7 linked regions of the Macaca mulatta genome follow. The protein of the gene in region 6 interacts with the protein of the main gene of each other region in a pairwise test. Links are inferred from orthologs where the notes say so. Each region holds a gene or a part of one and is shown on either strand. Other genes may lie near its edges.

What was found.
Region 1: the proteins of VCP (region 6) and VCF1 interact in binary tests that used the Homo sapiens proteins (3 or more experiments, as listed by UniProt). The link is inferred for Macaca mulatta from reciprocal best matches to the Homo sapiens genes VCP and VCF1.
Region 2: the proteins of VCP (region 6) and EPSTI1 interact in binary tests that used the Homo sapiens proteins (3 or more experiments, as listed by UniProt). The link is inferred for Macaca mulatta from reciprocal best matches to the Homo sapiens genes VCP and EPSTI1.
Region 3: the proteins of VCP (region 6) and SLC43A3 interact in binary tests that used the Homo sapiens proteins (3 or more experiments, as listed by UniProt). The link is inferred for Macaca mulatta from reciprocal best matches to the Homo sapiens genes VCP and SLC43A3.
Region 4: the proteins of VCP (region 6) and VAMP2 interact in binary tests that used the Homo sapiens proteins (3 or more experiments, as listed by UniProt). The link is inferred for Macaca mulatta from reciprocal best matches to the Homo sapiens genes VCP and VAMP2.
Region 5: the proteins of VCP (region 6) and LNX1 interact in binary tests that used the Homo sapiens proteins (3 or more experiments, as listed by UniProt). The link is inferred for Macaca mulatta from reciprocal best matches to the Homo sapiens genes VCP and LNX1.
Region 7: the proteins of VCP (region 6) and UBE2D1 interact in binary tests that used the Homo sapiens proteins (3 or more experiments, as listed by UniProt). The link is inferred for Macaca mulatta from reciprocal best matches to the Homo sapiens genes VCP and UBE2D1.

What each region holds. Positions count from the first base shown.
Region 1 is NC_133421.1:82,885,699-82,889,957, forward strand, and holds the start of VCF1 (protein VCF1), read right to left. Parts: upstream 2,801-4,259; 5' UTR 2,773-2,800; coding exon 2,552-2,772; exon of another isoform or gene 2,551-2,551; intron 1-2,550.
Region 2 is NC_133422.1:22,250,113-22,253,612, reverse strand, and holds part of EPSTI1 (epithelial-stromal interaction protein 1), read left to right. Parts: intron 1-3,139; coding exon 3,140-3,247; intron 3,248-3,500. UniProt on the Homo sapiens protein: Plays a role in M1 macrophage polarization and is required for the proper regulation of gene expression during M1 versus M2 macrophage differentiation.
Region 3 is NC_133419.1:15,977,102-15,981,301, forward strand, and holds the start of SLC43A3 (equilibrative nucleobase transporter 1), read left to right. Parts: upstream 1-1,400; 5' UTR 1,401-1,571; intron 1,572-1,577; exon of another isoform or gene 1,578-1,938; intron 1,939-2,349; 5' UTR 2,350-2,415; intron 2,416-2,650; 5' UTR 2,651-2,832; coding exon 2,833-3,016; intron 3,017-3,336; coding exon 3,337-3,466; intron 3,467-4,200. UniProt on the Homo sapiens protein: Sodium-independent purine-selective nucleobase transporter which mediates the equilibrative transport of extracellular purine nucleobases such as adenine, guanine and hypoxanthine.
Region 4 is NC_133421.1:9,677,680-9,681,632, reverse strand, and holds the start of VAMP2 (vesicle-associated membrane protein 2), read left to right. Parts: upstream 1-1,153; 5' UTR 1,154-1,254; coding exon 1,255-1,256; exon of another isoform or gene 1,257-1,689; coding exon of another isoform or gene 1,690-1,697; intron 1,698-1,771; coding exon 1,772-1,892; intron 1,893-2,375; coding exon 2,376-2,534; intron 2,535-2,617; coding exon 2,618-2,669; intron 2,670-3,277; coding exon 3,278-3,294; 3' UTR 3,295-3,953. UniProt on the Homo sapiens protein: Involved in the targeting and/or fusion of transport vesicles to their target membrane. Major SNARE protein of synaptic vesicles which mediates fusion of synaptic vesicles to release neurotransmitters.
Region 5 is NC_133410.1:79,855,989-79,860,041, forward strand, and holds the start of LNX1 (E3 ubiquitin-protein ligase LNX), read left to right. Parts: upstream 1-1,253; 5' UTR 1,254-1,700; intron 1,701-4,053.
Region 6 is NC_133420.1:64,662,549-64,666,048, reverse strand, and holds part of VCP (transitional endoplasmic reticulum ATPase), read right to left. Parts: intron 2,814-3,500; exon of another isoform or gene 2,774-2,813; coding exon 2,643-2,773; intron 1,685-2,642; coding exon 1,517-1,684; intron 559-1,516; coding exon 408-558; coding exon of another isoform or gene 385-407; intron 1-384. UniProt on the Homo sapiens protein: Necessary for the fragmentation of Golgi stacks during mitosis and for their reassembly after mitosis. Involved in the formation of the transitional endoplasmic reticulum (tER).
Region 7 is NC_133414.1:91,527,783-91,531,882, reverse strand, and holds the start of UBE2D1 (ubiquitin-conjugating enzyme E2 D1), read left to right. Parts: upstream 1-1,300; 5' UTR 1,301-1,503; coding exon 1,504-1,527; intron 1,528-4,100.

The sequences.
Region 1 (4,259 bases), on a different chromosome or scaffold from region 6:
CTGCACTCCAGCCTGGGCTGGGCGACAGAGCGAGACTCCGTCTCAAAAAAAAAAAAAAAAAGAGTATGAGCTGGGCACAGTGACCGACACCTGTAATCCCAGCACTTTGGGAGGCCGAGGCAGGCAGATCACTTGAGGTCAGGAGTTCGAAACCAGCCTGGCCCACATGGTGAAACCCGTCTCTACTAAAAATACAAAACAGCAGGGCGTGGTGGCTCGTGCCTGTAATCCCAGCTACTTGGGAGGCTGAGGCAGGAGAACTGCTTCAACCCAGGAGGTGGAGGTTGCAGTGAGCCGAGGTTGCACCACTGCACTCCAGCCTCGCCAACACAGCAAGACTCCGTCTCAAAACAAACAAACAAAAACAGTATGGAAACTAGTGGTTTTCAAACTTTATTTTTAAAAGTGACAGAACTCTTTCTTTCTTACTGTAGAAAAATACTCTCTATATAAGAGATAAAGGATTTGTTGAAGCAGGGACTCCCAGTCTGGTGAGGTGGCTCACATTTGTAATCCCAGCACTTTGGGAGGCCAAGATGGGTGGATTCCTTGAGCCCAGGAGTTCAAGACCAGCCTGGGCAGTATGGTGAAACCCCATCTCTACCAAAAATACAAAGGTTAGCTGGGTGTGATAGCTCACATCTGTGGTCCAGTTACTCAGGAGGCTGACATGGGAGCATTACCTGAGCCTGGGAGGTTGAGGCTGCAGTGAGGCATGACGGGGCCACTGCACTCCAGCCTGGTCGACAGAGTGAGACTCTGTCAATCAATCAATCAGTCAATCAATCAACCAATCAATCAATAAGCAGGGACTCCCTCACCACACACCCACCTCTCTGCGGCTATCCAATCTATTGTGTGACAGCCTGAAAAACCATCTTTTTTTTTTTTTTTTTGAGATGAAGTTTCGCTTTTGTTGCCCAGGTTGGAGTGCAATGATCTCGGCTCACCGCAACCTCCGCCTTCCGGGTTCAAGCGATTCCGCCTTAGCCTCCCAAGTAACTGGGATTAAGGCGCCCGCTAACAGGCCCGACTAATTTTTTTGAATTTTTAGTAGAGACGGAGTTTCACCATGTTGGCCAGGGTGATCTCGAACTCCTGACCTCAGGTGATCCACCGGCCTCGGCCTCCCAAAGTGCTGGGATCACAGGCCTGAGCCACCGCGCCCAGCCGAAAAACCACCATCTTAGACCGTCCTAGAGCTGGCAGAGCTGGCCCATCATACTCCATTAAACACTGGCAAGAAAAGCCTGTCCAAATCAAATAACTTATTTAAAACATGTTGAGATTATTTGTGTACTTGATAAAAGGAATCTACTACCAGTATAAATGCATTCAGATTAGTTGTGTACAGTCGAATTTTTATTTGTAGGAAATATTTCGATTTTTCTTCAGATATGTGAGACACCCCAAGAGAATATCGTAAGTATAAACTGGGTTTGGGGAAGAATAACATGGCAGTCGGGTCAGTATCTAAAGCTATATCTAAAGCTCTTGTTCCTAATTCCGATAGCATGTCTGTAATTGGGCCCCCAATTTCAAATTTAGTCCACTCTTCTTTTCTATACAACGAGAGGCTTTATGCTCCACTTGCTACATGACCCAAATCAATAATCCCATGCAGCAGCTTGGGGAACCCGAGGTTTCCACCATGGGACCAAATAAACTCAGGATACTTCTGAGAACTTCAATCCCGTGAAATAACTATTTCAGAGAAGGATCCTTGTGGAAAGACCGGAACATGAAGAGCATTCTGAGGTAACCCTTCCCAACTTTCTCCTCCACACATTCTTGCAGAGGAAATTAAGAGGGAGAAAAAAATTAAGAAATCCCAACTTAGTCGGGACTCTAGGAGTACATGTCAAGCATAGAACTCCTAATTTAAGGGCCAGGCTCCCTTGGGAAGGTAGCGAGTGCATCGCGACAAAATCCTACCTCCCGCCTTCGGAATCAAACGGCCCCGCATCCAAACAGTTTAGAATCCAGCTTGTTCTTAATGCTACAGTCAAGAGAGGATCCATAACCCGCCTTGGTCATCTGCCCTTCTGTGTTCACAACCGTTCATAGCACAAGTTCTTCGGTCTAACCTAATCTTTCCCTGCTGCGGGGTTAAGCCCAACCTTTCTTTCTGACCTTGGGGAGCCGGCAGCTCCCCGCCCGGTGCCCTCACAAAAGCCTGAGGGGGCCCCCTCTCCAAGATGAGACGTTTCTCCCATCCCCCCACCCTCCTAAATTTAGGACAGGGAAGCTTTAGGGCCACTGTCTCTCTTCCGGGACCGATCACACTTCGTTCCAAATAGGAAACGATAGGGGAGTAAAAAGATGGAGGGGCGGGAGACCTGGACCCCGGAGAGTCACCTTCCAGCTACCCACAGGAACCAAGCATCCGATCACTCGCGCATCCCTCTCCCCTACTCCCCCGGCCCTCAGTGGACCCCACAGGGAGCCCCGCCGGGTCCACACTTGCTCCGACCCCCATTTCGCGCGCCCCCTCGGCTCCATCTCCCAAATCCTCAGGCGACGAGTGGAAAGGGGGTCCCTTCCCTCTCACCTGGGACGGAGGCGCTCGCTCATGGCAGCTGGCGGAGGGAAGCTACGCTGCGCCGCTCCGCGAGAAGAGGGAACAGAGGGGGTTGTGTTTCGGCGGCCGCCACGCCCACCCCCTCGGGCCTTAGCTCTCGCAGCCGCTCGGGTGGACGCAGCCGGTGGCGAGTACCCCTCAGTCGGACCCGTACCACCGCTACTTCCGGCGTCTGCTCCGCGCCCCCCCATGTCGCTGCCGCCGTGGTACCGCCCTCTCGCGGCTGCGCAGTGGCACGATCCCAACCGCGCCGACCGGTAACCCCGCCCACGGGAAGAGGCGGGCTCGGAGGGGGAGGAGCGACTAGGAGCTTCTGGGAGAAAGGACCTCCCCTGGGGTGGCGGAAGCACTCGCCTGTTCACAGCCAACGGAGGGTACGGTATGAAAGTCAAGCCAGGTTTCAAATAAACTCAATTATGTCATAATAATATCATACAAGTATTTGAGTTGAATCCGTGTGAGGTAACATTTTTAAAAATAGGCGGACCTATCCGGCAGTGGTGCAGACAGCCTGACGCGGTTTCCTGGCCGGGGGTTGGGCAGGCGCTTGGGGGGCTTCCCTGGGGGGGCTTCCCGCCGAGGCCGCCTGGGCTTTCGGGTCTTCCGAGGTGAGGACGGTCCTGTGAGGTGAGCTTCCAAGGGCGGGGTTGTGTTCCGCGACCCACGTTCTAGGTCTGGGGAAGACTGTCCTGAGCGGAGAGGGGAGGGAATCGGGTGCCGGCGGAGGGTCTTCCTGGAACCGCAGGAGGAACCCCTCGGTGGGGCTGCGGGAACGCCGGTGCCTGACCCAGAATCTGCCAGGCCGACCCCATCCACTTCGCTGGCAGAATCAGAACAGCTTTCAGGGAAAGGAAGGGTGCGGGGAGGTGGGCAGGCTGGTAACGCGGCCGGAGGAGGGAAAGGTGGCTGAGGAGCGCCGGAGGTGAGGGCGAGGATTAGTGGAACTGTTGAGGTCCTCCTTGAGCCCAGAGGCTTGGGAGGTCTTAACTCTCTGCTTTCCGGAACCTGTTTGTTTTTGATTCAGTACCGTGCCGCATTTACTCACTGCGCGTGCTGCCAAGTCACCTGTCTCATCGTGTCTTACACAGGCTGACATTCACGTTTCATTCTGCCACACTCGGGAACGGTGATCGGGGAAGAATGGGGATCCGGGAGAAGCACCCGCAAAACTAGCATCCTCCTAGAGGAGCTCGAGTAAGTAAACAGCCACATATAGACGTTACCCTGGGAATGTACCGAGATGTTTCAAGTAGGATTGAGTGTGAGGTGGAGTGGAGGCAGAAACGTCTAGCAGGTGTCATGCCCTTTCTAACGTTATTAGCCGAAGGTCCATGGACTGGCTTCATTTGTGTGTATTTTTGTAAATAAACAGTCTGTGGCTTTCATCCTGTTAGTGTGTACCTCCAAACAAAGAAAGACTGATGGCTCACGCCTGTAATCCCAGCAAGCCGGGCGCGGTGGCTCACGCCTGTAATCCCAGCACTTTGGGAGACCGAGGCGGGTAGATCACCTGAGGTCAGGAGTTCGAGACCAGCCTGGCCAACATGGTGAAACCCCGTCTCTACTAAAAATACTAAAATTAGCTGGGCGTGGTGGCCCAGGCCCGTAATCCCAGTAATCCTAGCCACTGGGGAGGCTGAGGTTGCAGTGAGCCGAGATCGTGCCACTGCACTCCAGC
Region 2 (3,500 bases), on a different chromosome or scaffold from region 6:
GTAGGCAGAAGTACCAGCATCATCAGACCTCCCTCAGCAACCATCACTGCATATTTCTAGTTAAATGTGAAATGGTTTCTAGTCTCTGGTTTTATGCCCCCACTTTTTTTTATCTTTTATTTTTTAAATTTTTGTAGACAGGGTCTCACTCTGTCACCCAGGCTGGAGTGCAGTAGCGTGATCTGGCTCACTGCAACCTCCACCTCCCAGGCTCAAGCCATCCTGCCATCTCAGCCTTCTGAGTAGCTGGGACCACAGGCATGCACCCCCATGCCCTGCTAACTTTTGTAGTCTTTGTAGAGACAGGGTTTTGCCACATTGCACAGGGTGATCTCAAACTCCTGGGCTGAAATGATCCACCCACCTTGGCCTCCCAAAGTGCTGGGATTACAGGTGCAAGCCACCGCACCAGGCCTTACGTCTCTACTTCCTCAACAAAGAATAACGATGTGAAAAAATCTCATCCTGGTGTTTCACTTCCCCAAATCATTCAGTGGTCCCCCATATCTTCAAGGATAAAATCAAAATAGCTTAGGCACAAAGCTCTTTCCTCTCTCTGTCCCTCCCTCCCTCCTTCAATTCTAGATTCTGTCTCTTTCTTTACAATGGCCCCTTTTTAGTCCTCTAGGGTCTGCAGGACTGGCCTTGAGTCTAAATCTTTGCTTCTGCAAAGGGGTAAGGGGAAGCAAAGCTTTTGAAATCAGGAGCAAAGATTTCAATGCAGACCAATCTCAGGCCCCACTGCAGGCCTCCTGAATCAGAGCTTGCATTTAACACAATCCATGGGAGATGTGTGTGCATGTTGATGTCTGAGGGGCCGAGCTCTCTAGCTCGTGCCTCTCCAGCTGTCCTCTCTCACACTACTGTGAGCACTCAGTGCAGGTTGGTTATTGTAATTTTTATCTACGTGTCACATGCTCATTCATTACGAAGTCAAATAAAATACTTACTATGTGTCCCTTTGCTCCACTTGAATTCCACTTCCACCCCAACACTTGGAACACTTAGCATTTCCCATTGCTGCTGTAACAAATTACCACAAATGTAGTGACCTAATAGAACAAACATTTATTCTCTTACGCTTCCGGAGATCAGAAATAAAAATGAGTTTTAAAATGCTAAAATGAGGTTATCAACAGGGATGGTTCCTTTTGGAGGCTCCAGGGGGCATCTGTCCCCTGTCCCCCCAAACCCTTGGCACATGGCTGCATTGCTCCAATTTAGCTTCCATCTCACCCAACCTTCTGCACCCTCCCTGACCTTCTTGGCTTCCTCTTATAATGACCCTTGTGATTACAATGGGCCCACCTGGACCATCCAGGCTAATCTCTTCATTTCAAGATCCTTAATTTCTGGAAAGTCCCTTTTGTCATATAAAGAAACATTCACAGATTCCAGGGATTGGGACATCTTTGGGGGGCCATTATGCAACCCACCACCTGTTTCTTTTCTTAGTTAGCTCTGAATATCTGTTAATATGTGTTGATATGTCTTGACTAATCAATTTTAGACCTTATTAACTCATTTCTTCCTCTCATTCTTATAATTATTCAGTAATTTGAGCTTTCCCTTTTATGACTATATAAACATTTTCTCACTGCCAAGCCAGTTGGTATACTGTGGTTATATCTTCCTGTAAAACTCTTTGAACATATTTTATTTTAGCGTTTTCTTAGTTTCCTTTGAACATTTGACGGTCTTCTGACAGCTTTTGTGACTGTTCTACAAAATGCCTCTTGATGCAGATTTCTAAACAATTTTCCAAATTACACCTGTCAGATAACCTGTCGATTTTTTTTTTTTCCTCTCTCTCCTGGATCCCTCTTTCCTCCTGCTTTAACCTGTCCTGGGTGTTTGTAGGCCTGGTGCACAGCCGTTGTTCTGGGACTTTCCTTTAACACAATAGTTCTCAGCCTCCTCTGCACACTGGATTCACCTAGGGAGCTTTAAAAATCACAGACACCTGGGTTACACCTCCAGAGAGCCTGCTGTATTGTGGCCTGGGCTTCAGGGTTTCAAAAAGCTCCCCGGGTGATTCTAATGTGCAGCCAAAGTTGAGAATCACTGTTTTAAAGTTATCTTGGGAATTGCTTTTATTGCTTTCCTAAGTTGGGTTCTCTGATTTCTGAGCCTCATTTCTTCTATTTTCTTGCTTTATTTCTTTGTTTTGGTGGAGCATATTACTTAGTAGCTTCCCAAGAGAAGACACATGGAAGGTAAACATGTTCAGGTCCTTCCATGTCTGAAACTATCTTTATTCAGCTCTCACACTTTGCTTGCATTTTTATTGATGACTATTCCAAACTGGACATATTTTTCCTCCAGAATTTTGAGGCATTGCTCTTCTAACTTTGGGTACTGGTTCCTGAGAAATCCAAGGCCATGTGAATTTCAGGCTTTATGTGGGGGATTTTCTCTGTTTCCCCTGAAAATACTTTAATATCATCTTTTCTTTTTCTGGCATTCTGTAATGATGTGATTTAGTGTGAAAGTCTTTTTGAAATTGATTTTCAATCTAGAAATTCATCTCTAGTTCTAGATGATTTTCTTGTGTTATCTGTTTGATTTATATCCCTTCATTTTCTCTTTTTGGAATTTCTATTATTCAAATTGTAGACCTCCCAGGTTTATCTTCTAACTTTAGAGATTTTCTCCTGTAAGTTATCTTTGACTATCTTTTTTCTATATTTTGGTGTATTTTCTTGACTTTATCTTCTAAATATTTTACTGATTTGGGTTTTTTTGGGGGAAGAAGGGGAGATTTTAAAAAAAATTCTCCAAACTCCTCCTTTTTTCTTTGTTACTTAAAAAAAAAAGAAATATATATATATAATTTCTTACCTCTCAGCAGAAACAGTACAGGAAGCAGAAGAGAACTCCAAAGAGAGGGACTCAGAGGCTCACTGGTCAGTATGCAGTACTTTATAGAGTCATTTCATTCTCTGCCTGGCATTTGTCCACTGCTGCTGTCTTTACATGTATGCCCGGTTTAGTTTCTCCAGAAAATACACTTTTCATTTCCTATTGGTGTTGGGTGAATTAGCACCGGGATTTTCAAGGCAGGAGCAGGTATATGGGGGTGAAGGGTTTCTACTGAGACTGTCTAGTAACTCCTTTCTTTTACCTGCCTGTTACCCAGCTGTCTTCCTCAACAGCTGATGCCTCCATTTCTTGGGCCCTCATGTTGCTCTGTGGAGAGAACTGGCTCCCCATGCGTGTCCTCTGGCCCCTTCCAGCAAGTCTTCAGGTTTGCTTTTTCCTCTCTAAGTCACTTACTGTTTCTTTATCTACTTTGTCTTCATAGATTTTCCTCTGTGAATATGGATCTCTTGGGTTTTGAAGATAGAGCTTGTGTATATTTCATTTTCTGCTCTGTTTCGGGTAATTTTGGGGAGAATGGAACAGGAACATCTTTACTCCACCATCCTGAAAGGAGAACTTAATGCTTGTCATAGGTCGAGACCCACACTTCTCAAAATTTGTGTGGAAGCCCTAACCCC
Region 3 (4,200 bases), on a different chromosome or scaffold from region 6:
ATGCATTAATTTCAGAGTCTGTCTTGCAGTAAAATAGAAAATCTTGCATCTTAAGCCCTGATTGTCCCGGGCTGCTATATTTTTGTGGATTAAAATGTATTTCTTAAAATAACTTAAAATGTTATTTTAAGAAGAGACTTGTTTTCTCTAATGTCCAAATGTTTGTTAAGATGGGGTGATGAGAGCATAGGTTTCAGAGTTGGGAAGGTACTGCGGCTTCGTAGAGTGACCATGGGCAAGTTCCTTTAAAATTCCTCCCCAAAGCTGCTTCTCTGGCTCTGTCTACATAACTGCAGACTAGAAATCCACTACCCTACAATCTGCCTACAGCACCTGCGCCATGCAGGGACCTCATACACCCATCTCATACTTCTTTTAAGACAATTCCTATAATTAAGGTCCTATTGTCCTTGTCTTACAGGTGGGGCAGCCAAAGAGCTTGCCTCAGGTTGTATAACTAGCAAGTAGCTTGGGGTACAGGACCCCAGCCACCCTTCCTCCATTCAGTCAAGTCACTAGAGTGGTCACAGACTTTATCTTTTGTGTTTTGGTGGTGAACTGGAAAATACTCAGTTGGATCTGGAAAATACTCAGTTCTGGCTGTCCCCTATCCTAACCTCTATTTCTTCCTCTTAAAAAAAAGAGGAGTGGCCGGGCGCGGTGGCTCAAGCCTGTAATCCCAGCACTTTGGGAGGCCGAGGCGGGCGGATCACGAGGTCAGGAGATCGAGACCATCCTGGCTAACATGGTGAAACCCCGTCTCTACTAAAAATACAAAAAACTAGCCGGGCGCGGTGGCGGGCGCCTGTAGTCCCAGCTACTCGGGAGGCTGAGGCAGGAGAATGGTGTAAACCCGGGAGGCGGAGCTTGCAGTGAGCTGAGATCCGGCCCCTGCACTCCAGCCTGGGTGACAGAGCAAGACTCCGTCTCAAAAAAAAAAAAAAAAAAAAAAAAAGAGGAGTGGGCTTGGAATAGCTGGAGTTCCTGGGCCCCCACGGGATCCAGGTAGCTGGGGTTGGGAGTCTGCAGACTGCATCTAATATGCAAGAAGCTCTCCCCCAAACTGAGCTTTTGACAAGGGAACAGCCACTCAGGCCAAAGAAGACATCAGCTCACGTGCTCTGGACTGGAGGGATGGTAAGGCAGCTGCTTAGACTGGCTACCTCACGCTGATCACAAGCTCCGATGGGCAATTATATATGTCTTTGATTAATAAAAAATGGGGCAATGAATGAATAGTTAATCAATGCAGTCTGCTGGGAAGGTTCTTTCAGAACCTGGGGGTGGGGGTGAGGCCGGGAGTCATCTAAGGGGTCTTCGGGAGCGAAAAGATGGGGCAGTCCTCCAGGCGGTGGTTTCTGAAAAGCCCTCAGTCCTGGTTCTTGGCTGCCTGATTCTGTGGTTGGGATGTTTTTGGCAGCTGTGGGAGTGTGAAACTGGGAGAGAGGGTTGAGGTGGTGAGCAAATAGGAAAAATATGTTCCCTGCCCACCCAGCGGTCAAGGCAAAATGCACAAATAGAGAGAGTGTGTGTGTCCCTATGCCCGCATGTGCTGTCTGCGTGTCCTCTGGGTAAGTGGGTGAGTGGGTGACATTTTTCCTAGGTGGGCCTGAGCGTGTAACAGCATTCAACTAACTTGGTTAGGGGAGGCAGAGGCAAGGGGGCTGGGAGGCTGAAAGGCAGTGAGGAGGGAGGGAAAGACACCGCTGGGGTTATAGGGGATCCTAGAGGGAGAAGTTTCAAAAGGGAGAGGTAAAAAAAGGCGCGGGAGGCTGTGAGCAAGGAAAAAGAAGAAGGAAGTGATGGAGAATGGGAGGCCTGCCCCAACCCCTTCCGGGAGGGCAGGCAGGGGCGGAGGCGAGCAGGGGACTGGGAGGGGCGGCGAGAGGCGCGAATGCGAACGAAAGGGCGCGGAGAGCCCCGGCGCGGAGCACGCGGGTAGGGCGAGGGGTCCCCTTTCGGGGGCCTTGGGGCTCCGAGCCCGGGCTGGCCCCTCGGGCTCCTCTGCGGGGAGGGCCGGCCGCAGGCTGGAGCGGGGTGCGGAGGCTGGCGGGGAGCGGCCCCCCGAGGCTTTCCTGGTAGAAGTTGATGCGAGGCAGGGCAGCGGGGACCATGTTTGCGAGTCCTAGGCGAGGGTCATGGGAGCTGGGGTATTTCTGGCAGTAGAATGGCCTGCCTCGTGACTAAACTAGCCCTGTGATCTTGGGCAAGTTCCTGAAATCTGCGGGAGGTTTTGTTTCATTGTCAATAAACTGAAGATAACAACACCAAGTTGGCAGCGGGAGTGTGTGTCTTCTGTGTAGGGCCTCCCTGCCCCTGTACCTGCTTGAGTTGCTGTCATTATTTTAGTGGACGGTATTCAGAATTCGAGCGCAGGAGCCTCCGCTTCTCCACCTGCTGCCGGGGAGCTATTGGGTAAGTCGTTTATCTCACCTGTGACTCCAGGTGGCAATTAAGATCTGCCTCTCTACTTACCACGTGGTTACTCAAATGCAGTGCCTAAGATAGTGTATTGGAGTATCTATTCCCCATATTTGCTGCCAGCGGCCATGATCACCCTGCCTCTTAATGCACCCCACAAATAACTCTAGTCCACCTTTGCCTTTCCCGCAGGCCTCCTCTTCCAGCAGCCTCTGTCTTTATTTTACAGGATCCAGAGAATCACCCGCTGACGGTTTTTGCCCAGGCCTGAAACAGAACCAGAGAGCTACGGGAAGGGAAGGGCTTGGCTTGCCAGAGGAATTTTCCAAGTGCTCAAACGCCAGGCTTACAGCGCCTGTGATCCGTCCAGGAGGACAAAGTGGGATTTGAAGATCCACTCCACCTCTGCTCATGGCGGGCCAGGGCCTGCCCCTGCACGTGGCCACACTGCTGACGGGGCTGCTGGAATGCCTGGGCTTTGCTGGCGTCCTCTTTGGCTGGCCTTCACTAGTGTTTGTCTTCAAGAATGAGGATTACTTTAAGGAGCTGTGTGGACAAGATGCTGGGCCGATTGGCAATGCCACAGGGCAGGCCGGTAAGGGCAGGGATGACTTTTCTAAGGAAGTTAAGTCTGGCTCCCAGGTGGTGGCAAGGAGCAGGAAGGACTCTGCCCCCTGCCCACCCCTCTTTCTATGATGAGAGGAAGGCTCAGCAGCCCTCAGCCCACTTGGTCTGGGAAGTGCCTGGAAGGGAGGCACCAGCTCCTGAGGGATAATTAGGGGCAGCCACATTTCAACTGAGCTGAAGGGACGAGCTTCTGACTGATGAGCTGTCCGAGGTGGAGGGGGGAGCCCAGGCTGTGTGCTCATTTGGCAGGAAGGCTGGGATGCATGGGAAACCTTTTTTCTTCTCCAGACTGCAAAGCCCAGGATGAGAGGTTCTCACTCATCTTCACCCTGGGGTCCTTCATGAACAACTTCATGACATTCCCCACTGGCTACATCTTTGACCGGTTCAAGACCACCGTGGCACGCCTCATAGCCATGTAAGTCCGAAAGGCCCAGCCCAGGCAAAGGTGGGCGATAGGAATCCTTCAGGCTGCAGCCCAGCTTGGAGTGAAATCCAGGTCAGATGGCCCGGCCGCCCTGCCAGGCACCACACCTGCAGCTAGCTCCCAGCGGCTGTTAGGAACAGCCCCAGGCAGCGGGAATTTGTAGACTCCCCACTTCACCACAGCCCCGCTTCCATTTCCTTACCTCTTTCCCTGCTCCGCCTGAATGTGGCTTCCCTATCACTTGCTGAACTGAGCCGGAGGCCAGGCTGACTTCCTGTAAGGGCTGGCTTAGAGCCAGGTTACAAAATTAGCAAAAACTAAAATTGCTCTTCTCTTCCTTCACCCCAACGATCCTTGTCCTCATCCCCTGCACAGCCTCACATCCAGGTTGCTCAGGCTTCATCCTCATCCTCCTCACCGCCTCCCTCCCCCATCACTCCCCAGGGGCTTAGCTAATAGGAAGTTTCCTTGGTATTGCCACTGGTGGAATTTCAGGTCCTTTCTGACTGGAGGGGAGGCAGTGGGGGTTTCCTGTGCAGATGAGTCAGAAGGTTCGGGACGTGATCTCACACACACAGTGCGTTGCTGCATCCTAATCTCGTGCTCTGTGGGCAGCCTCAGCGATAATCAGCGCCCTGCTGGGGACTGATACAGCTCAGAGCAGGTGCTCCCAGGGAGGCACATGTGAGATCAGCTGTCAGAGAGAGGAACGGGAGGGCTAGCTG
Region 4 (3,953 bases), on a different chromosome or scaffold from region 6:
TGTGCTTAGAGGGCCTAATGGAGATAGGGATAATCTTCCATGTTATCCACATCAAGCCATTTAACGAATATGGATTTAGTATCTACATATGCAATGTATTTGGGGTCCAGAGAGAGGAGGGCAACTGTCCAAGGTCACACCTGCGAGGCGAATACGCATGTAAAGCAGCACCTTGTAAACTGTACCCACTGTGCCTACTACTAAAGAAAAAAAAATGAGAGAGAAAAAAGCCTTTTGGTCCCTGTGCCTGGGACCAAAGCCTGAGCCCTCTCCTGCAGTTGGGGTCGCTGACCCAAGCCTGGGGCAAAGCTAGGTCTTGGCCAGTCAGCAGCCACCACGTGAAGCAGCCCCTGCCCCCATCAGCCCCGGCTGCCTTGTGCCCTCCTCCTCGGGGTCTTCAGCTCACCCCACCTCAGTCGGGCCTGCTCCAGCTGTTAAGTACCCCTGGTCTGAACCTCAATCGTGAGGCGGGGCACCCCCCTCCTCACACCCTGTAGACACTCCCCGGTCCTCCACCCCCTGGACTTGTTTCGGCGGGAAGAGCCTGCCTCATCTTTTCTTCCCACCCTCCTACCCAGTGGCCTGGGATCGCAGGCTTCCTCTGAGACATCCACCAGCGGGGTGATGGGTTGAGACCAACCTCCTCCACTCCCCTCCACCCTAGCAGCAGGGTCCCCGCTCTCGATATTGCCCCAGCGCCTGTACTGACCCTCTCTGATTTCCCAACCCCAGCCCATTCCCAGTGCTGAAGGCGGGTCGCTAGGTGCTGGGACCTGGGCGCGGGGCGAGACCTTGGGCTGTGTGGGATGCAGGCTGGCTTATTGGGTTCACGATTCAGGGAGTGGTCTGGGGGTTAGGTGCGGGGCCAGGCTGCTGTGTGCCCTAAGGGGCAGGTGGCAAGAGGTTTGGGGGCGGCTGTGGAAGGCTGTGCTCAGACAGGGCGGGGTGACGGTGGGTTTAGGGAAGCCGCAGCAACCCGCCTGGTGGTCCCGTGAGTGCCCAGAGAGCTGCCGGGGCACGGTGGCGCCAGACCCGCAGTCCCGCCCGGCACGACCCCAGTCCCGCAGCGCCCCGCCCCCGCGGCCCCGCTCCCGACGCGTCGCCCGCGGCGCCCCGCCCCCGCCCGCAGTGCCCGGATGCGGGTGACGCGCGGCCGCCATCTTTCCGTCCCGGGCAGCCAGCGCCAGTCGGAGCCAGCGCGAGTCGCCGCCGCCATCACTGCTGCTGCCAAGTCCTCCACCCGCTGCCCCCGCCATGTGAGTCGGCCGCCCGCCACCCTCACCGCGCTTCCCTGCACCGGCCGCCGCCCTTGGCAACCGGCCGTGGGGAGTGCCCGGGGTCTCTCCCGCGTTCCCCGCGCCCCGGGGCCAGGCCCAAGCCGGTGACTGCGCGCGGGCGGCCGAGAAGCCCAGCGTCTCGGGCTGGCCGGCTCGAGCGATGGCCGCGGGAAGGAGCGGACCCTGTGTCCTCCTGCCGCGCCCCGCCCCTGTCACCGCGGCCGCCTGTCTTTTCGGGTCGACCCCGATCACATCTGTGAGGTCGCCCTCATTTGACAGGCGGGGAAACTGAGGCCGGGGGGAGGGGAGGCCTCGCTCAAGGTCACGCAGCTCATCGGTGGCGAGGCTGGACCTGGACCAGGGCTTCCATCGGGTGGCCTTCCTCCCGAAAAGGAGGACTGGAGGGACGAGGATGGACAGGTGGATGGGCGGAGCCCTGGCTGCAGGGCCGGGAGACTGCAGGCCCTGGGTCTTAATCCGTCCCTGCTCCTCAGGTCTGCTACCGCTGCCACGGCCCCCCCTGCCGCCCCGGCTGGGGAGGGTGGCCCCCCTGCACCCCCTCCAAACCTCACCAGTAACAGGAGACTGCAGCAGACCCAGGCCCAGGTGGATGAGGTGAGTGTGGGGGGAGTCAAAAGCAGTAGAAAGGACCCTGGGGGTTGGCGTTTAGGTGTAGGGGCCCATGTTGGTTTGGGAGTGATGACAGTTCACGCCTGTGGGTTTGCGGACAAAGATACTTTGCCCCATCCGTGTCTCCCTGTCAGCACGCACTTGGAAGGGTGCTGGGGGTGTTAATCAGCTTTGCTAGCCTGGGGTGTGCCAGCCTAGGCAGGTGTGCTCTGGTGATGGACAGAGCGCCTGAGGCGCCATAGAGGGAGGGTGTTGCTATGATATCTGAGATGTCACCAGCAATCCCCTGATGTGTGCTCCTTGCATGTCCCCAGGTGTGCTAGGCATGTACTGTGTGTGTCCTTGGCATGTTAACCTGGCAGCATCAGGGTGCATGTTCCATGTGTGGCACGGTGGGCACATGTTTGAGGATTGCCCTCATGAGGTGGGCCTTGGCACACCCCCTTGCCCCGTGGGCCCTTCTCCCAGGTGGTGGACATCATGAGGGTGAACGTGGACAAGGTCCTGGAGCGGGACCAGAAGCTGTCGGAGCTGGACGACCGTGCAGATGCACTCCAGGCAGGGGCCTCCCAGTTTGAAACAAGTGCAGCCAAGCTCAAGCGCAAATACTGGTGGAAAAACCTCAAGGTAAGGATGGGGACAGGAAGGAGGACTGGCAGGTGAATGGGGTATCATAGTTAGTCTCGCTGATCCTCTCCTCTCACCCCCAGATGATGATCATCTTGGGAGTGATTTGCGCCATCATCCTCATCATCATCATAGGTGAGTAGGCTGGGAATGGCCGGGGCCCTTTCCCTGGAGAGGTTTCCCCAGTGGATTCTGGGTTTTGAAGGTCATTAACCTAGTTTTTACTCTTCAGCCAAAAACACATATAGCTGCTAATGGCAATTCTGATTCACCTAGAGCCAAAAACTTTGATGTTATTTAGCCTGCATTTTGCCTGGTTCTTGGCAGTTTTGTTAACATTTAGAAATATAAAAGTTGGTGTATCCATTGAGGACCCTTTGGGCCTAAGAGCCCAATCTGAGAGCCCTGGAATTGAGGAGTGGGAGAAAGGAAAGGCCCAGGGGCTTGAGACATGACCAGGAAGCCAACCACCCCATTATTTGAGAGCTTGTGGCCTCAGGCTCAGAGGATTAGGGTATGTGGCCTCAAGGCCATACCATGGAACTGAAGGGACCTCATAACCTACCTGTCTAACCCCTTGCTTTGTAGATGGAGAAACTGAGTCCAAGAGAGGGGTAGGGGTGCCAGCCAGCTGGGGAGTGGGGAGGATTGGAGCAGGGCCAGGCCTGACACACTGCTTTCTTTCTTTCTCCCTCTCTCTCTCCCCTCTCCCTCTTCCTCATCTTCTTCCCCTCTCTCCACAGTTTACTTCAGCACTTAAATCCCTGAGGAGTCTGCCCTGCCTAAAGAAGGGCCTCTCCCCCCACCCTCAGCCGTTCCTCCACCTCTCAGCCATATCTTTCAGCCCCCCTTCCCTGGATCCGTGCGTGTGTGTGTCCGTGTGTGTGTCCCCCTGTAAATAGCCAGCTGTTATTTATACATATATAATATTATATATATTTGGTCTGTTTGTAGTTTTATTACTAGAAGATTTTTCTGGTTGTCCTTAACACCCCTTCCTGAGGTTCCCTTCACCTCCTCTCTCTTGCCTGCCTTCCCTTTCCCTTTCTTCCTGACTAGCCCCAAGTCCCTTCATTTGCATCTGCTATGCAATAGTCCCTCTCCTCTCCTTCTTCTTCCCTCAGATTTAGCTGATCCTTCCCCCCACCCTGGCCTTCCTTTCCTCCTCCCTCTCCCGGTCATGCTCCCTCTGCCCCGCCCTCAAAAAAGACCACAAAAAACAAAAAGCATCTGTCCAGGCTTCCTTAGGTGCATCTTGTTTGCATCCAATGGGAGGCTCTGAGACTGGCCCCACTTGGTCCTAAGAATCCCAAGGTCTTTGGGAGTGTCCAGCATGTTAAGTAGCGTATCATTACATACTGCCATCCCTTTCCATTTCTTTTTGTTCCATCACTCTTCTCTCAACTGGTGTTTCTTTTT
Region 5 (4,053 bases), on a different chromosome or scaffold from region 6:
GACCAGATGCCAGCTGCCCTGGGTAACCGCCATGACACAAGAGAGCTAAGTGCTAGCAATTGAAAATAAAGATTAGGGGTAGAACCAAAAAGAGTCAGAAGTGTGACCTTAGGACTGAAAATACATGTGCTGACTTCATCTCACCAGGCAGAATTTTCCAGGTTGGCAATTTTGCCTCATTCACTCCGTGGATTATTGATTAAAAGAAACTTGTAGCAGCTGGCTCCGAAAGTCAAAGGGACAAAGTGGCAATCAGGCCATGACCAAAATGCACACAGAGGCCAAGGAATTTGCAGTGTACTTCCTTGTTTGTAAATCAGAGTCACAGTGGAGAGCTGAAGGCACCGCAGCCAGCGGCACCACCTGTAATTAGGGAGCCACAAGTACCTGCACTCCATGTGTCTTTCTTGCATGTTGCACATACATAAGATAACACCGAGCTCCCGATTCACATCTCTGGAAAGAGACTACTTAATTCACTAATTATTCACATTTCTACTTAGAATCGAATTCCCAGAGCTTATCGCTTATTTAAGCAAAATCTTTGGCCATCACTGGAGCTGTCATCCCACAGAAGTGCTTAAGCAAACCAGTGGGAAAAGCAAAACTCAGAAAAGCACACTTCCAGAAGCGCAACGTTTACATTTTTAACTAGCTGGGTCACTTTGCAGGAACGACTTAATCTCTCTAATCCTCAGTTTCTTTATCTATATAATGGGAGTGATAATTATAGATTCTGTTGAGAATTAAATTAAATAATGCAGGTCAGGTAATTACTACAGAACCTGGTAGGCAGTAAGCACTTAATAAATGTTAGCAAAGATGTTGCAGCGGCTGACAGTGATGGCGATGGTAATGCTGAAGAATGAGCAGAAGAAATCCTTATTTAAACAATCATTCTGTATCTTTAGAGTTAAGAGTCTTAAGTAGTATCAGCCACAAACTTGCTCAGTCTTCTTCTTTGTCCACAAACATTAGCCAGTGTTCAGTTATGAGCAATACTGCCGAGAGAAAATCTTTGAAAGTTTTGGCAAGGTATTGGAACAAGTCAGAACTACTTATTTGCCTGATATAGATTTTGGTGCATGTCCCTTTTCATATTCAAAAATAAAAGATGCCCAGGATTCTAGGGCCTGTCCAGTCAGCAGCCCCTGCCTATTAGCATGATAATGTTCCAGACCTAATGATGGCCTGAAGGTGTGGTGACCCTGTGTTTATTTCCTTGTTGATTTCCCTTCTCTGGCTCCAAGATCATTTTCCCATTGCCCACAGGAAACAACATCTAGGGGCGAGGTAGGCCTGACTTGGCAACCCTAAAGGTGAACAAAAGGATCTTGGCTTTTGGCAAAAGCAGAAGGAAGTTCAGGGGCGTCTCAGCCCCATCCAAACCAGAATAGATTTGTCACTGATGCTAATGCATGCTGCTCTGCAGGGGACCACTCTCCCGCTAAGCTCTCCATAGCTGCTCTCAGTTTTATGAATCTGCTCTACCCAAAGCCTTGCAGAAGGGACAGGGGATGTCCTGGTTAACCCCTGCATGTACAATGGTGGAGCAGTTTTCATGCATAGCTGGGACACAGAATACTGGAAAGAGAAAGAAAAATTTCCTGAGCTACTGCTAAGCCAGCAGAACTCATCTCTCAAACGGACTATCACCTGAGACTTCACACAGCTGGGAACTGATCCGCAATACAGCAAAGGTAAGATGGCCTAGTTCCTCTACAAGGTAGAATCTCATACCATTTCTTAAAAACGTCACCTCTGCCCACTCAGCCCCCAGTTCTCACCTCTCTCTCTCTCTCTCTCTCTCACACACACACACACACACACACACACACACACACACACACACACCCCAAACTGAGGAGAGTCTAAAAGATGGAAATATCTAGGTGTGTCTTTTTGAAAACACTAGAAACGCCTTGGCATTTCCTCTTTTTATACCCTATTTTTTTCTGCAGTGGCCTTCATTCAAAGCTTATTTACTTTGACAAATGAAAACGACTTGCCAGACAGATCAGTAAAAATATAAGTAATCCCACTAACAGTAACTGGGTTTATGCGACAATATTCTTTATCGGTATTTAAAACACATTCACACACAGACTTTGTTTCATTCCACAGTAGGAGTAGGTGTTGCATTGTAGTTTTACCCATGGATAAAGAGGTTGAGAGAAGCTGTGACCTGCTCATGGATGTGTAGAGTTGTGGGTGACCAGCAGCACATCCTGTCTTCATTCCTATCTCTTTTCAGTAGAATGGTGACCCTACTCTTTACAGAAAATTCCAGACTACATTCTTGGCCATGTATTCTGACAAATGGTCTGATGAGAGGATGGAATTTTAGAAATTGGAACTCTCAGGAAAATCCAGAAATAGATAGCCACAGTATCCTGTACAATACACCACCTTGTCATGTATTCCTGTTTACTTCCATTCCTGGGCATTGAATTCAGTTCAACAAATGTCGATAAACTATGTTCCCTGCTCCAACACTGACTGGCTCATATGTCAGGGCGTGGTGCAAGTCCTGTGCCCAAGGAATGCTGAGGCAGTGCAGAGTAGGATGGCGGGGTGGGGGGCTTCCCTAAAGAGGTGAGCTTCAAGTAAGCTCAGCATAAAGAGTGGACTTGGATTGAGGGAGAGCATTCAGATACACAAATCCCCCGGGAGGAATTTGTTGAGTGAACATTTACTTACACCAAGTCCATGGTGGCAGAGCTGAGGGGCAAGGAGCACAGCCTGAGGAATTAGACTGTCTGGCCTTGACTCTTGGTTCTACTTCCCACTAGCTCTGCATCTTGGAGTACCTCAGTTAACACCGCTAACCTTACCTTGCCAATATGTAAAATGAGAACGATGGTAATACATCCCTCATAAGGTTGTCTTCAGCTGTGAATGATTATGTATGGGAAGTCTTTCCTGATGCATAACAACTGCACAATAAATATTAATACTAACTAGTGTGATGACCATGTGCCTGGCTCCAAGGGAGATGCAGGGAATACAGATAAGAGGAGGCCTACCCTCAGTGTAATCAAAACGTCATGAGATAGTTGTGTGCAGCTAATGACATGAGGTGTGATGCATGCTCTGGAACCAGGAGGGTGGAATCTTTTAAGTCTGTGTGAGCTAGGGTTGGGGTTCTGGGGGGACAGGGAAGGGGGCAGAGGTTTCACAGCAGAGGCCCTATGTGTAGGGCGGTAGTATAGATCAGTGAAAAGAGCTAGACAGATCTAATTTTGAATCCCAGTTTCCTCCTCTATTTACGTATCTATTTATTTCTATATTAATCTATATGTATTGAAAGCCATAAATTCATACTGCCAATTCATACTTCCAATTCCAATCCAACACTCCCTTTCTACATTTGTAACTCCCTTCTCTAACATTCATCAGAAGCTGGCTCCCATTATCCTTAATATATTATATGCTTATTCACTCAATCCCCCAAATGTCATCAACTGCCATCATGACACTGTCCCTTGCCCCATGCAGACGCCCTCCGCACCCTGCTTAGGCCCTGACGCTTTGTTCTGGGCTGCCCTGAGCTGGCTCCTGGAATTCTGGAGCTACCATATGTCCTCCACACCCGCACAGGTGCCTACTTTGCTCAGCCCTATGTAATGTCTTTAAGGACTGTGACACATGCTATACATTTGTGTATGTACCTGTGTTGTCACTGTCTTTGGAGGGGGATAGAGCTATCTCCTCCATACAGGTAGGGCACATGTCCTCAGCATCAGGCCTGAAGAAGCCAGGCTCATTCCATTCATTCTATTCCACTTGGTCTGCTGATCTATATGGATGTGGGCTGCTCACTGTATGCTCGGGGTAGTAACAACATTTCCAGGGGTGAAAAGTACTATTTGGGCAGTCACTGTTCCTTTTGCTTCTCTGTCAAGTCCTTGTCTAGGTTCTCCATTATTCATTTACTTAACAACAGATATGAAGCACTTACAAGGTAACTGGTGCTTGGTTAGGGTGGGACATAGAGATTTAAAACCTTAGTCACCACCCTCAAGGAACTCCCAGTCCACTGTGGGAAGCAGA
Region 6 (3,500 bases):
CTCGTCTCACAGTTGAACTAGAAGTATAAATGTGACAACAAATGCTCTAGCCAGAGCAGGAGAGATGGCACACCACTAAATAGCATTCTCCAAGAGCCAGTGATCGAAGTTCATTTTCCCCAAACTCTCTCAAATCACTAAGCATTCGCCCTTTGATTTCTCGTTCTAGTTTGCTCCTGCTCTTCAGTCTGTCCACCATCTTTCTCAAGGGGGGCAGGACAGGGAGCACCAGTGTAAAATATCTTCCCTCTATTGCTCATCTGTCTGTAACATACCCAAGCAGAAGAAATATGCTATAAAGGTGCAGGAGGGCATGGGTGCAAAAAGGATGTGTCCATGAGTGCTCCAGCTCATGAGCCCAGTTCAAATTGGGTCTAGCCAGACATAAGATGAACCAAGTATCTTACCATTTATCAAGAAGAAAAAGGCTCCAGTCTCATTTGCTACAGCTCGAGCAATCAGGGTCTTTCCTGTTCCAGGAGGTCCGTAAAGCAGGATTCCTCTAGGAGGCTGTGGACCAATGCAGAGTGTGATTACGTTCCCACCTTCTCCCAAACCCTAAAATGGCTTAACTAGGGCTCCAGAGACGGGGAGAACCAGGCTTCAACCCTGACAATATTAAGAATAAGCCCTCAGTAGTAAATGCTAAGCAGACAATTTACTTTAGGCCACAATCATTTCTATTACTAGCAAGGAAAATACTGCTAGAAAGTGGGCAATATTTATGACTGTAACTTGCATAGGAGACTAAGGGCAGAGAAACTCTAGTCCAAATGTATTTGAAGATACATGACTAGGCAAAGGCAAGAGGCCATTACACAAAGGGCTCGATTTCAGACAGACCAAGGGCCAAAGACTAGCTAAGCCATTTAAGAGAGCAGGGTCTATTTTCTTCATTGCCAGAGAATCACTCACTCCAATAACCACGCCCTCCAGAATTTATCACACTGGAATGGTGTTTCTTACAATCATCAATTTTCTTCTTTGACACTACCCTTTCTATGGCCCTATCCACAAGCAGAACATGTAAACTGTCCACATAGAAGATGAATTTGTGTGATACCTACTAGGAAAATGAGTAACTTCATCTTCAGTGTGTTCCATGATATAGAAAAGATTGGGAAGCTACACTCTAGACCAATAGTTCTCAAATGTTTTAGACTCAAAACCCTTTAACACTCTGAAAATTTCCTTAACTTCCTTACTTCTATTGGGTGACACTGCTCTAGACAGGCTGGCAAACTATTGTGAGATTTGTTTTTACGGGGTCCATTGATACAATAATGGCTTTTATATTCTAAGAGTTGTGGGAAAAAACCCATATATGTGTGTGTGTTTTGTGCGCACATACACACGACAGACAATTTAATTAGCCTACTCTGGTCTAGACCATCAGCTCTAATGAATTTAGAGCCTTAGGTAAACTAAAGGATATATTATTGCCCCTCTAATCCAAGGCAATAATGAAAGCCATGTATGAAAACAGTCCCAGGATTAGACACTGGATATTAATCACCACTTTAGACTTGATCCCAGAGCCCAGGATGCTCACCTTCACACCAATTGCCTTAAAGAGGGCAGGATGTCTCAGGGGCAGTTCCACCATCTCCTTTATCTGAGCTAGCTGCTTCCTGCAGCCACCAATGTCATCATACCCTACTTCATTCAAGGACTCTTCCTCATCCTGAATGTGGAAGAGAGAAAGGAGAAGGCAAGAATATTATATCAGCAAAAGTTGAGTTTCTCTAAATCATTCCACTACCTAGTATGCAAAAACCTAGCGTATGAGTATAATAAGATTATCAACCCGGCACGGTGGCTCACATCTGTAATCCTAGCACTTTGGAAGGCAGAGGTGGAAGGACTGCTTGAGTCCAGTTGTTCCTGGGCAATACAGCAAGATCCCATCTCATTAAAAATTAAATTAAATTTAAAAAAGAAGATTCTCCTCTAAAGGGATCCAGCCTCAAAGAACCACCACAAAAATCCCAAGGCAAAGATTTCCAGCACAGTCCTTGCCTCTCACATTACTCGTAGTCTTACTGAGAAAGGGTCTCTAAAACCTGAAGCTGGAAACCCTGGGAATGGGCAGAGGCCTGAAGCCACCATCAGCTTTACTTCAAAAATGGTTTCAATCACTTATATATTTTGGATTCAGTCTAGGTTTTTGAAATTCCTGACATTAGGTACATCCAACAAACAATTAGGCCCAGAAATGAATAGCTGGCAGGTTTCTCATCCCTGAAAGATGGTTAGTTCTCCAAAGAACACCCAGTCTTTTTTTTTTTTTTTTTGGTCAACCAGGCTGGAGAGAAGTGGCACAAACTCAGCTCACTGCAACCTCCAACTCCTGGGTTCAACCGATTCTCCTGCCTCAGTCTCCCGAGTAGCTGGGATTCCAGATGTTCACCACCAGGCCTGGCTAATTTTTGTATTTTTAGTAGAGACGGGGTATCACCATGTTGCCCAGGCTGGTCTCGAACACCTGACCTCAAGTGATCTGCCCACCTCAGCCTCCCAAAGTACTGGGATTACAGGTGTGAGCCACCACAGCCGGCCGAGCACCCAGTCTTGACAGTTACCACATGATGCCACACTGAGTAATCATGAAATTGGATACTGGAATCAGGGAGAAAACTCACCTCTCGTTTGATAGGCTCCCCTTCGCAGTGGATCACTGTGTCTGGAGCAACAATGCAATAAGGGCTAGGATCTGTTTCCACCACTTTGAACTCCACAGCACGCATCCCACCACGGACAAGAAAAATGTCTCCTAGGAGAGCAAGCAGTACAAGTACAGTTAGGGGCGTCAACTACAAGACAAAGTGAGAACTCATCAGACCCTGGGGTCAAAATGCCAAACTCATTAGATATTGTCCTATTTCTCCCCAACTCCACCTGTCTTAATAAGCAGCAGGTAAGAGGAGAAAGGTAAACTGTGAAGAGTCCCTCTGACGCTCAAGAGGTCAGTCAAGAAAACCTGACATGTCAGAAGACTATCAAGTTCTGACTTCTGCCATGTAAGTAGCCCAAGTTTTCACTACAACCACCAATGATAGAACTGTGCACTCTGGACCCTGACCCAGCCAAAATGGACCACCTTCTCCTTCAGAGATCCATAAAGATAGCTTACTCTCCCGGAACAGAGAAGGGGAGAGATGGGAGCCAGGGAAGGATGGAGGAAAGGAGCAGGGTAAGACATATGAATATGTGTGCAAGGTTTGCATGCATGTGTATACAAATATATGAAAATGAGTCTAGCGGCCAGGCACGGTGGCTCACCTGAGGTCGAGTTCAAGACCAGCCTGACCAACACAGTGACACCCCATCTCTACTAAAAATACAAAAATTAGCCGAGCGTGGTGGCAGACGGCTATAAGCCCAGCTACTCAGGAGGCTGAGGCAGGAGAACTGCTTGAACCCAGGAGGAGGAGGATGCAGTGAGCTGAGATTGGACCATTGCACTCCAGCCTGGGGGACAGAGTGAGACTCTGTCTCAA
Region 7 (4,100 bases), on a different chromosome or scaffold from region 6:
TCCAATCCACCATTAATGAGCACCTAGGTTGACTCCATGTCTTTGCTATTGTGAATAGTACTGATGAACATGTGAGAACATATATCTTTTTGGTGGAATAATTTGTTTTCAGTTGCATATATAACCAGTAATGGGATTGCTGGGTCAAATGGTAGTTTTGTTGTAAGTTCTTTGAGAAATCTCCAAACTGTTTTCCACGATGGCTGAACTAATTTACATTCCCACTAACAGCATATAAATGTTACCTTTTCTCCTCAGCGTCACCAACATCTGTTGATGTTTTCACTTTTTTTTTTTTTCCTTTTTGAGACAGAGTCTTACTCTGTCGCCCAGGCTGGAGAGCAGTGACTCCAACTCAGCTCACTGCAACCTCCGCCTCCCGGGATTAAGCGGTTCTCCTGCCTCAGTCTCCTGAGTAGCTGGGATTACAGGCGCCCACCACCATGCCCAGGTAATTTTTGTATTTTTAGTAGAGATGGGATTTCACCATGTTGGCCAGTCTGGTCTCGAACTCCCAACCTCAGGTAATCTGCCCGCCTCAGCCTCCCAAAGCCCTAGGATTACAGGCGTGAGCCACTGTGCCCGGCCAAGAAGCCAAGTTTTAATGGGTACACAAGTGCCCAGGAATTGGAGAGTGGGGAGTGTGCGTTGACTATTAGTCAGAGACTGTCAATGGAAGGGAAGGAGTCAACGATGGGAGTGAGAGCTCTGAACTCGGTGTTCGAAGCGGGTAATTTATGGGAGGGGCATACCTATGAGCAGACGATGCACTCAGACACGGAAGATCTGTGCATTGGACAGAAGAGACACCTTTTTCCTCTGCAGTAAGAACCAAGGAGGTAAGTAAGGGGTCTGATAGATATGAGTTTGTGCATGTGTGCTGGGTGAGTAATTGAGATAATTCATATATTTGAGAAAAGACAGTGAAATATTTAAAGGTAAATATAATAAAACCAGCTGTGGCACCTATTGGATAAGGAATTACTAACTGATGATTTAGAAATTCCTTTATGTGCGTTAGGAGCTCATTTGTTATCCCCATTTTACAGATGCGCAGCCCCAGGTTCAGTAACTTGCTCTAAATGAGACTGTAGAGACTAACTCCAGCACCCGGCAGCTCTCACCTTAAGCTGCCTGGCTAAGGTCAGCAGCAAGTAACCTGGCAGCGTCTGGGGGCCTGCGGCCGAGGACAGGGCTGGAACTACACTTCCCAGTATGCCAGGCGGGGCGGGGCGCGGCGGGGAGGGCGCAGGCTCCTTCCCAGAAGCAAAAGCGGAAACAAAAGAGTCTCGCCGGCCTCCCCGCCCGCACACTCGCGCACACTCGCGCTCGGGCGCAGACGGAGCAGGGACCGGCGCCCGGAGCGAGCCAGGGAGCGGCGAACCGGGGACCCACCGCGCGGAGCCAGCTGAGCTGCCAGCGAGCCCAACTCGCGAAGACTCACGCCCCCGAGCCCCGCAGCCGACCCCTGCCGGCCGGTGTCCCCACCGCGATCCCTGATCCATGGCGCTGAAGCGGATTCAGAAAGTGAGTGCCGGGGCCGGGCCTGGGGCTGCGGGGCAGCAGGGCAGCGGCGCCTGCCCACGCTGACTCGGCCAGTGGTCCCGAGAGATATGCAGGGAAAGCACGGGATGGAAGGGTGGGCCGGGGTGCGGGCAGGGAGCTGGAGGCTCGGGCCCGGCCAGCGGGCACCGGACAGGTTAGGTGGGAGCGGGGGCAGATCCCAGGCGGCCGGGGGAGCTTGAAGGCTGGGGGCCCGTGGCGCGCTCGCGCCGGGGCCGCTCCCGGAGCCCCAGGGTAGAGAGCCTCCTCCGCGTCCAGACCGCCCCGAAATCTGTGCTTCACGGTCACGGCTGGGTTTTGCCCTCCATGAGGCTAGTTTTGACCCCTGTCATGCTGTGTTTTCTCCAGGCTGTTTCTTAAGCCTGTCTCTTTTATGTTCTTGCTTACCCGGGCTCCCCGGGAGGGCACGGAAGGTGGGGTGGGCCTGCAGCCTTTCTCCGCGGAGCTGTCGGGTTGGTTCTTTCTCCTCTGCGGTTGGCTCTTGCTCAGTTGCCCGAATGGGCTGGAAAGCCCATTTGCGGCCAAGAAGCCAAGAGAAGGCTCCTGCCCCTTCTATTTTGGTGCCTCTGCTGCTGCCACTTCAGGTCACATAGCTGTAGCGAAAACATAGTTGCTGATACACAACAAGATGACCTCCTGGCTGTGATTCACGGTGAGTCAAGCCAAACAGGTTTTTTTTGCCCCTCATGGTAAACTTAGATGTAAAGTTCGAGACACAACATAAACTGTCGCAAATAGATTGTTTTGATGCTTTGACACATGGGTATAAAATGAGGAAGAAATATGTATCTTCATCCAACAACTGTTCACCCATCTCAACCCTGTGTGTGGAATTGTCTTTTTTTCACAGTATTTATTGCCACCATTTCAGAAGCGAACATCCTTCAGAATTGATATTCGGGCATTTCTTTCTGTTCATTTTTATTTCTTGTTGGTCTGTGTACTGACCCAAGTTTTAGGTTTTACAGTTACAGTTCACACTGGGAACATTGAGAATGTGTTTGTTAAATAGGGAGTGCTTTTCACTAAGTTAAGCAACAATGGTCAGTGTATTTTGTAGTTGTTTCAGAAGAAATTAATGCCCACATTTTTATCTACTTTTTTGACCAGTAGTCCATTATAGCAATAGTAAATGTTAGAGCAGTGATAGTGACGTACACATTGTATTCTGACTAGCCACTAGTGGCATCTTTAGGTACAGAGGACAGCAACTTTTAGAGCCTGCCAGTTTTTTATTTTCAAATTCTAAATCTGTTGATCACCTGTTATTTTTTGTCCCATTTAAAGGTCGTCTCATTGTAAAACATACAGTTAACAATCAGCATCAGCATTTATTAAGTTATAATGTTTTCTTGTTTGAAGATAGTTCAGTTACACGTTGTTTTATATAAATATCCTAATTTTGAAGCCTCAGTCGGCCTCTTTACCATAACTTGCATACTTATTAATGACGACGTAATATTGGTTCACATTTGGATCAGAAAATGCACATCTTCCAAGGAAGTTTTCAAATTCTATTTCCTTCTTTCCTAGTTGTGAGAATTTTTCACATGATTTTGCACATACAAGAGCTTTTTAAATTATCACTGTGTTTTTTTAAGAGATGGGGATCTCAGTATGTTGCCCATGCTGGTCTTGAACTCCTGTCCTCCAGAGAGTCTGGGATTACAGGCACAAGTCACCATACCCAACTATAACAATAGCGTTTAAATGCTGTGCAATTTGTCCACAGTAAGTGGATATTCAAAGAAATATGAACATTGTTTGTAAATACCATACTTGGCAGTTCTCGTCAATCACCATGCTGAACTGGTGTATTTGATTTGTATTTATAATGTGTGTGTCCAAATCTTTTCTTTTTAGTATTTATTGGTTATTAGTTTATAGAGTTGTTCAGAAAAAAAAAATTACTTACATGGAATTGATATCAAACATGTGACAAATCGATATTTTGGAGAAGAAATTGGGATCATATACCATCACATCTCTGTGCGTTCATCTTTGGCTTCCCTTTCTGATATCAGGCAAGTTAACTTACACAAGTCTTTCCATTAATCACACATTCAGACCGTTTCCTCAAACCTTAGGGGTGATTATTTTGATTGATTCCCTATTTTTCCTCCTCCTTTATCTACCTCCTTGATTAGAAGCCAATTCTAGGTCAGTTGTGCCGCCTGCCATATGAACAGTTATACCATCTTCTTCTTTGATGTCATCAGTATAGACATTCTTATTTGAATCTTTCATGTTCCAACAAATGAAGATGTATACTAACTTTTGGCCTTTCTTCCTAAGCTCCTATTGAAGTGTTACTATAGTTTTCCTGTACCTAAAGTTGCAGACTGTAGAGCTGTGTGGAACCTCAGATAAGTCTGCCGTAGTGTACTAGAGGGTACCAGCACGGGAACAGCTTCTAGGGTAGTGTCTTAGAATCACCTGAGGGACGTTTTCAGACTGTCGTCACTTCTATAAATGGAGAGGTGTTGAATCCCTCAGATGGGTTGGGGTGGAAAGAAGACTGAGAACCACTGATGTTC